Canis lupus familiaris: one gene and its partner. The protein of the gene in region 1 interacts with the protein of each later gene in a pairwise test. Links are inferred from orthologs where the notes say so. Each region holds a gene or a part of one and is shown on either strand. Other genes may lie near its edges.

Region 1 (3,644 bases):
ATGAACCTGGAATTTTTATTTTGCTTTAATTCTTACATGTTTTATATTATAGTGACATCATGTTCATAGAAACTAGAGCCAATTATAAAGCCCAACACTGATTGTTTTTTCTTGATTATTAGAGTACCAACATTCAATATTTTGTAAAAAAGAATTTTGTAGAACTGTTTAGAAAAAATAGTGTCAGCTTTTAGTACAAATTTAGATTTTGTTCCTTTTAGGTTATATTAATGAAAGTGGGCATCTCAACTTACCTCGATTTGAGAAATACCTTGTGAAACTATCAGACGTAAGTAACTAGATATTTTTATTTTCTTGTCCCAGGGTAGCTATAAATGGGCAGAAACCAATTATATCAGAAGAAAAAGTTTTGGTACTTTTACATCAACTGATCCTTCTGTATAATTTCACCTAAATTACTTTTATTTTTATTTGCTTTTTATTTTTGATTTTCAGCCCATAAGAGAGTAACATTCTTTGATTTCTTATGCCCTAGAAGTAGCAACTGTTAAAAGTTTGGTTTCTATTCTTCCAGACATACTTAAATTATTTTTAATGAATTTAAATATTTTTGTACAGTTTGATCGGGAACACTTCAGTGAAGTTTTTGTGGACCTAAAGTGGTTTGAAAGCAAAGTTGGTAACAAGTACCTCAATGAAGCAGCAGGTGTAGCAGCAGAAGAAGCCAGGAACTACAAGGAAAAGAAGAAGTCAAAGGTGTCCATTTTTTTAGGTGTTCTTTCATTTTTCTAGCTGTAAAGTGAAACTGATATTCCTTGTTCCTCATTTCCCTCTTGTGATTTTTGGAGTTGCCTCATTTCATTTTCATTTCTTATTTTCTTCTATTGAACATTTGAAAAAAATTTTTTTTGTTTCTTCTCTGTTAGATCCTGTTACTTAAAGCTGATTTTTAAAAATCAGCTTCTTATTTTTATCCTAGAAGAAAAGCATTGTGTTTTCATCCTATTAATAAGTGTAGAAAATCTTCTAAATATAAGAACCTAGAAAATTAATTATCTTTTGTAAAATATGTCTACTTCTAACATTTAATATTGAGATAGCAATTAGACCTGTGGTTTTTCTTCAGAAATAATTTATATAAGGCACCCCGGGTGGCTCAGTGGTTTAGTGCTGCCTTCAGCCCAGGGCATGATCCTGGAGTCCGGGATCGACTTACACGTCGGGCTCCCTGCATGGAGCCTGTTTTTCCCTCTGCCTGTGTCTCTGCTTCTCTCTCTCTCTCTCTCTCTCTCTTTCTCTGTCTCCCATAAATAAATAAAATCTTTAAAAAATAATAATTTATATATAAAGTCATTTATGAAATACAGCTATAGGCTAGTTTAAGAGTAAGTAATAGCACAATAGCTAATAAATGCTAGGTGCTCAATAAATAAATAGTAGAATCAGAATATGCTAGTACCCTACGAAATATCACTAATGAGCTCTAAAGAATGTCTTGTATGTGTTAACTTGGGAAATAGACCTTTTCTGAAATTTTCCTCAGCTTATTTGTAATTATTGGGTTCAGATAAAATTGAGGAATTTTCTATACTCTCCTTGCTATATTGGTTCTTTTTAGGTTCAAAGCTAGTAACTCTTGCTCCATGAAGGGCATTTATGCTGATTTTCATTAGAGTAGTCCTTCTAATTGATTAGTTTTTCTCAGTGAAACTAAGGAGCAGTCCGTCTACATTCTTCTTTGTTTTTTCTCTTATAGAAACAGGCTCAGCAACTTTTTAGGAATCTATACTTTACTCACAAAACTTACACATCAGTAATCCCTGGCTCCACCCGTCTTAGCCCAGTCCTTAAGCTTCACAAGTCTTCAGGCATATGTAGTTACTGTTAGAGATACTGGCAAAATGAGGGAAACTAGAGGAAGAGCCGAAGCACAGGAAGTTAGCAAAGACCCTAGTTTGGATGAACAAAGGGAAATGGGGATAAGGGAGTAGGAAGAACTAAGTCACTGTCGATAGATAGGCAATCAGAAAATAGAGGAAAGAAAAGTTGAGATCACAAGGGAGGAAAAGCAGATGGGCAGGATATAAAGAATGTGATGAGATGGGATAAATATAGAAAAGCAAATGCATTGCATGAGAGAAAAAATTTAGAAGTAGAGAATAGAAAACATGTAATGTTTGTAACCTTTGGATTCAATCATGAACAAATAGATTATATTAACACAATAGATGAGAAATACCTATTACATATTTTAGAGCAGCCTAAATGTTAAGTTCTGCATAATAAAGATTTAGAAAAGAAGTGCTACAAAACCGAAAACATTTATACAGTACTTGAGGATTATTTTTTGAATGAACTTTTACAGTGTTGTCACTTAAGGATCATTCAGTCCTTTGTAGTATTTTTTAAATATCCCAGTTCAATGTCTTACTTTGAAATGTATCTTTGCATTAATTTTATATTGATTTATAATTTTTGTAGGGCCAGGAAAATGCCATATGTTGGGCTGCTTTAGACAAAAATGGAGAAGAAGTGGTAACTTCTAAGGGTGAGTACAAACTCTATTCGTTGTGTTATTTTTTTGACAGAATAGTCATTGTATCTTTCCTTAGTAAGCACTGATTTAATAATATTAGATGGAACAGATTTCTGTGTTAGTTTATAAGCATCTGCTTTGATATGTATTTATCAAAGAGATAGGTGGAAAAACAAAATATTTGTAATTGTCAGCCACTTTCTGACCTTTTTTCCAGATAATTTAGAAGATGAGACTGAAGATGATGACCTGTTTGAAACTGAGTTTAGACAATATAAAAGAACATACTACATGACGAAGATGGGAGTTGATGTAGTATCTGAGTACGTTTTTAACCAATGCTTTAACTTTTTTATTTTTAAAGATTTTGTTTATTTATTCATGAGAGACAGAGAGAGGCAGAGACATAGGCAGAGAAGAGAAGCAGGCTCCATGAAGGGAGCCTGATGTGGGACTCAATTCTGGGACTCCAGGATCATGCCCTGAGCCGAAGACAGACGCTTAACTGCTGAGCTACCCAGGCATTCTGCTTTTACTTTAAAATAGAAAAAAATAGATTTTTTAGATTTAAATCTAAAATTAGATTTTTTTTTTTTAAGATTTTATTTATTTATTCATGAGAGACAGAGACAGAGAGAGAAGCAGAGACACAGGCAGAGGGAGAAGCAGACTCCATCCAGGGAGCCCGATGTGGGACTCGATCCTGGGACTCCAGGACCACACCCTGGGCCGAAGGCAGGCACTAAACTGCTGAGCCACCCAGGGATCCCCTAAAATTAGATTTAAATCTAATTTTAAAATCTAAAAAGTTAGATTTTTTTTTAAGATTTTATTTTTTTATTCATGAGAGACACAGAGAGAGAGAGAGAGAGAGCAGAGACACAGGCCGAGGGAGAAGAAAGCTCCATGCAGATAGCCCAATGCAGGACTCCATCTGGGGACTCCAGGACCACGCCCTGGGCCAAAGGCAGGCGCTAAATCACTGAGCGACCCAGGGATTCCCCTAAAAAATTAGATTTTATTTATCATAATGTCAGCCTTTCAACTGCTATGGTTTTGAAGAAGGTAATGTTAACAGACGTGTTAGATTCCTGTGATAAAAAGTTGGCAAGTAGAAAATGGTTATTTTTGTTTGTTTGTTTTCCAT
Region 2 (3,980 bases), on another chromosome or scaffold:
CCTGCGGGGAGGAGGGGGGCGGAGGGGCGGCCGGCGGACCCTACCCTCTCCCGCTTCTAAACACTCCCCGCCCCTCTCGACCGCTTCTGGACCGCAGAGGACTCCGGGATTGCAGTTTACACACAGATTCCTTTTATTTAAAAATTCCAAAAACCACAAAAATAAACTTTTAACAATATATTACTTAATATATTATTATAGCATACTTATAACAATAATTATTCCATCGTTTCCAATATTACAAAAAGGAGGAAGAAAAATACAAGGGAAGCAGACGACCCAATATATATAAATACTATAAAATCCATTAGAATAAATAAAGTCGTCATAAATAAAGAGCCCAATGGCTGGGGGGGGGAATTGGGGGTGGGGGTGTTTGGCAATGGCTTTGGCTACTTGCTTTTGGAGGGAAATTCGAGCACCAGGATTCCCCCTCGGGGGAGGCTCCAGTCACCACCAGACTCTGGAACCTCAGGGTCTAGGAGAAATTGGGAGGGGGCAGTGGGAGCCTATTATTCACAGCATTGGGAAAGGGAGGGGTGGGTAGAGGGCTCACTGCCTTCCTCAAATCTGCTACATACTTTTTTTTTTTTTTTACAAGACCCAGAAAACTCCCCACCCCAACACCATGAACACAGATCTTGCACACTGGGGACCTGCCCCAGCGTGGGGTCAGGGGAGTGGGTTAATGCACTTTGGAAGGTAGGGGGAGGCTACTTGATTGAGTCCCCCGAGTTCCCCACAGCCCCGGGGCCCCTGTGGAACCCACAGCAAAAGAGAAATGGCCCCCTTGAATCCAGCTGATCTGTACTGGGCAGGCACTTGTCACTCAGAAACAGAGATGCGGTTGAAGATGGGGAGTCGCCGGGGGGCTGCAGGTGGCTGGGGTGTCCCAAAAATCCCAGCCTCGAAGACAGGCGAGTCGGATCCCCCTAGGCTGCTGCCGCTGCTGGCATATTCTTCAGGATCAGATCCCAGGGACTGTGCAGAGGGGCTCCGAGCCAGGCCACCCAAGGGCCCCCAGACGCTACTGGGGGTAGCCCTTCGGCAGGAGGGGCAACAGACTGTGGTGGGGTCCCTTCGGGCCACCGGGGTCCCAGGGGCAGCAGAGAAGGCAGAGGGTGAAAGTGGAAGGTCCCCAGGTGGCGGTGGTGGGGAGCTGGAGGGAGAGAAGGAGCAGGAGGACAGGGAAGGGCCTGCCAGGCCTGCTGGTGGTGGTGACGGTCGGCGGCCGGAGGGCAGGCCCGAGAAGCTGATGCTCTGGCGCAGCACATGAGGGTGGCCCGGGGCAGCCAGATCTTCGCTGGGGTTGTGGATGAAGTGGCAGCGTGAGCCGTAGGGGCAGCCGCCCTGGAGGTAGAACTTGTGGCAGAGTTCGGTCTTGTACTTGGGGTGGCGGCTGGCCTGGCGCAGCTCGCCCAGCCCGTGGGCAAACTGGCACTTAGCCCCGTAGCGGCAGCGCCCACTCTCGGAGAAGGTCCGACACAGCTCGGTCTTGTACCGAGATGAGGTGGTGGGAGTCGCAGTAGGTGAGGTGGGTGAAGGCGACAGTTCAGGGCCTGGGCGGGGAGCCAGGGGTGCGAAACCCGGGGGTGGTGGCACCCAGCCACAGCTTGGACTCTCCACCAGGCTGGTGGAGCGGCCAGGCAGGCGGCCACTGATCCCAACCCGGCTCCTCTCGGGTGAGCTGGGGCTCCAGAGCCCGGAGGGGGGCCAGCCTGGGATGGACTCCGTGTCTCCGTGGTCAGATGGCATGTCAGGGCTCAGCGACAGGAGGCTCTGTGGGAACAAGGATCGGTTAAGAAACCGAAAATGCTGGGTGACGCCCCACCCCAGCTGCAGGGCACCTAAGAGCTTGCCAGTCCGGTTCGTGGGCTCCCAGCCTGAGCCCCACCTGCCCACATTAAAATATGGGTGCCGGATGGCAGGGATCCCGATTTGGAAGTTCAGAATTTTTTCCTCCCCGCGACAGAAGTGTCTCCCGAGGGAACCAGAGTCCCCGGCTCTCCAGGCCGGATCAAAACAAGACCCCAGAGTCCGACAACACCACTGTCCTCCCAATTTCGAGCCTCTGGGCCCCCGGGGAGCTGACCCCTCGCATCGGGTTCTCCAGTTTCACAACTGGGGAAGCAGGCAAAGTTAGCCGCGGAGTCGGGAAGCCGTCGGACTTGAGAGTCCCCAGAGCTCCTGCTGGCCCGAGGGCCGGAGGGTCAGGAGTCGGCCCCCCCTCACCCCGAGACTCCGCGCCCAGCGCCGCCTCCGCGCCAAACCGCGCCCTCAGCAACCACTGGGGGTTAGGCCAGGTGTGGGGCCATTTCCGCCTCCAGACAGCCCTGGACTCCGACGAGTCCCCCGGCCTCCCGACCCCCGAGGGCCGCCCCACGAAAGTCGCGGGCTCTGTTTTCACCTCCTGAGAACCGCGCGGGTGTGGGAAGGGCGGCAGGGCCCCGGGCCGGGCCGGAGCTGTGGGCACTGGCGCTCGTCGCCCTAGCGGGGGGGGCGGGCCCGGGGGTCGCCGGCGGGGCTCACCTTGTAGATGGCGGAGAGGTCCATGGTGGCGCGATCCATGGCGGCGCGAGCGGCCGAGGGGTGAGGAGTCGGCCGGGAGGGCGAGCGCTGAAGTCAGGCTGCGGTCGGCCGGCCGAGCCCGGGCTTTTATAGAGGCGGGCGAGGGGGGGCGGGCCGGGTGGGTGGGGCCAGAAGGGGCGCTTCCCGGACGCGCGCCCCCAGCAAGGCCCGCCCGGCCCCCGGCCAGGACGCACCGGAGCCCGGCCCCGCGGGCGGTCGCAAGCGGGGAGTGCCCCGGGCCGGGGGGAGGGGGGGCAGGGGGCAGGGGGGACAGCGGGGTGTCGGCCCAGTTTCCAAGGCTGGAGAGAGCGAGGCGCGGAGAAGCGAACTGGGCCGTGGTGGGGGCAGGGCTCCCCGGGGAATCGACACGGGCCGAGGCCAAGAGGGCGTGCGCGGGACGACGGCCGGGGGCGGGGAGAGGAGAGAGCCGGGAACGCAGCCGGGGAGAGAACCGCGCAGGGACGCGGCCGTGGCGGGAGAGCCGCGCGCGCCCCGGAGGCAGGGAGAGGCGGGGAAGTTGGGAGACGGAAAAGACAAGTTAGAGACAGTCCCAGAGGGACAAACTCAAAAGAGGGGGAAGCGAGAGGGAGGGTCGCGTAAACTGAAAAAGCGGGGAGATGAACCGGGGGAAGCAAACACCGACAGGCCAGAAATCCCGTAGGAGCAACACGGAAGGGCGACCCAGGCCAGGTGGGGGATTTCGCTCAAACAGCCCAGGTCGGGAGGCCTTGGTCACCAGCCCCCTGGCCCTCGAGACTCGCGGGGGCGGGGGACCCCGGATCCCTGGCGAGGCAGGAAGGGGGCCCCTCGAGCTCACGCAGCAGATGGCCCCTCTGATCGGTACCCGCCCCCCAGCTCTGCTGCGTGAAAGTACTTTACGGCCATCCACTCAAGGACGCATTGTGCCCATTTTACACACGAGGAGACCCAGGCCGAGTTACTGTTGTCGAACCTGTTAGTAAAAGTTCGCCCTCTGAGAAAACTCAAGATTGGAAAGGGCGGTGTGTGTGTGTGTGTGTGTGTGTGTGTGTGTGTGTGTGTGTGTCTTTTATTGTGGACGAGGGTTTGCCTCCGATGGAAAGTCTTTTGGAGGTGGAAGGAACGGGTCCCCCCCCCCCCCACCAACTGGTGGTCGCACGGGCGTCTTTTGGAGGGGTTTGCCTTGAGAGAACTGCCAGTCTGCGGGGGTGACTCCCCACACTGGCAAGGCCGCTGTGGTCGAGGGGGTGCCCTGCGTGACACTCTGTTACAAAGGCCTGGGGAGAAAGTTCACTTTTAAAGGGGCTCTCGGTGGGCTGGGTGCCCGGAGTGCAAAAACATGGGGGCTGAAGTCGTTGCCACGGGGTGCGGCTCTACCCGGGCGGAAAGTTGCCTTCTGCGGGCTGCGGCCGCGCGCTGGGACCGAGGCGGAG

The links. The genes of interacting proteins can lie anywhere in the genome.
Region 2: the proteins of XRN1 (region 1) and ZFP36 interact in a two-hybrid assay, tested with the Homo sapiens proteins (2 studies listed by BioGRID). The link is inferred for Canis lupus familiaris from reciprocal best matches to the Homo sapiens genes XRN1 and ZFP36.

What each region holds. Positions count from the first base shown.
Region 1 is NC_049244.1:38,642,685-38,646,328, reverse strand, and holds part of XRN1 (5'-3' exoribonuclease 1), read left to right. Parts: intron 1-221; coding exon 222-289; intron 290-579; coding exon 580-717; intron 718-2,442; coding exon 2,443-2,509; intron 2,510-2,714; coding exon 2,715-2,820; intron 2,821-3,644. UniProt on the Homo sapiens protein: Major 5'-3' exoribonuclease involved in mRNA decay. Required for the 5'-3'-processing of the G4 tetraplex-containing DNA and RNA substrates. The kinetic of hydrolysis is faster for G4 RNA tetraplex than for G4 DNA tetraplex and monomeric RNA tetraplex.
Region 2 is NC_049222.1:114,602,925-114,606,904, forward strand, and holds ZFP36 (mRNA decay activator protein ZFP36), read right to left. Parts: upstream 2,667-3,980; 5' UTR 2,569-2,666; coding exon 2,530-2,568; intron 1,780-2,529; coding exon 826-1,779; 3' UTR 529-825; downstream 1-528. UniProt on the Homo sapiens protein: Zinc-finger RNA-binding protein that destabilizes several cytoplasmic AU-rich element (ARE)-containing mRNA transcripts by promoting their poly(A) tail removal or deadenylation, and hence provide a mechanism for attenuating protein synthesis.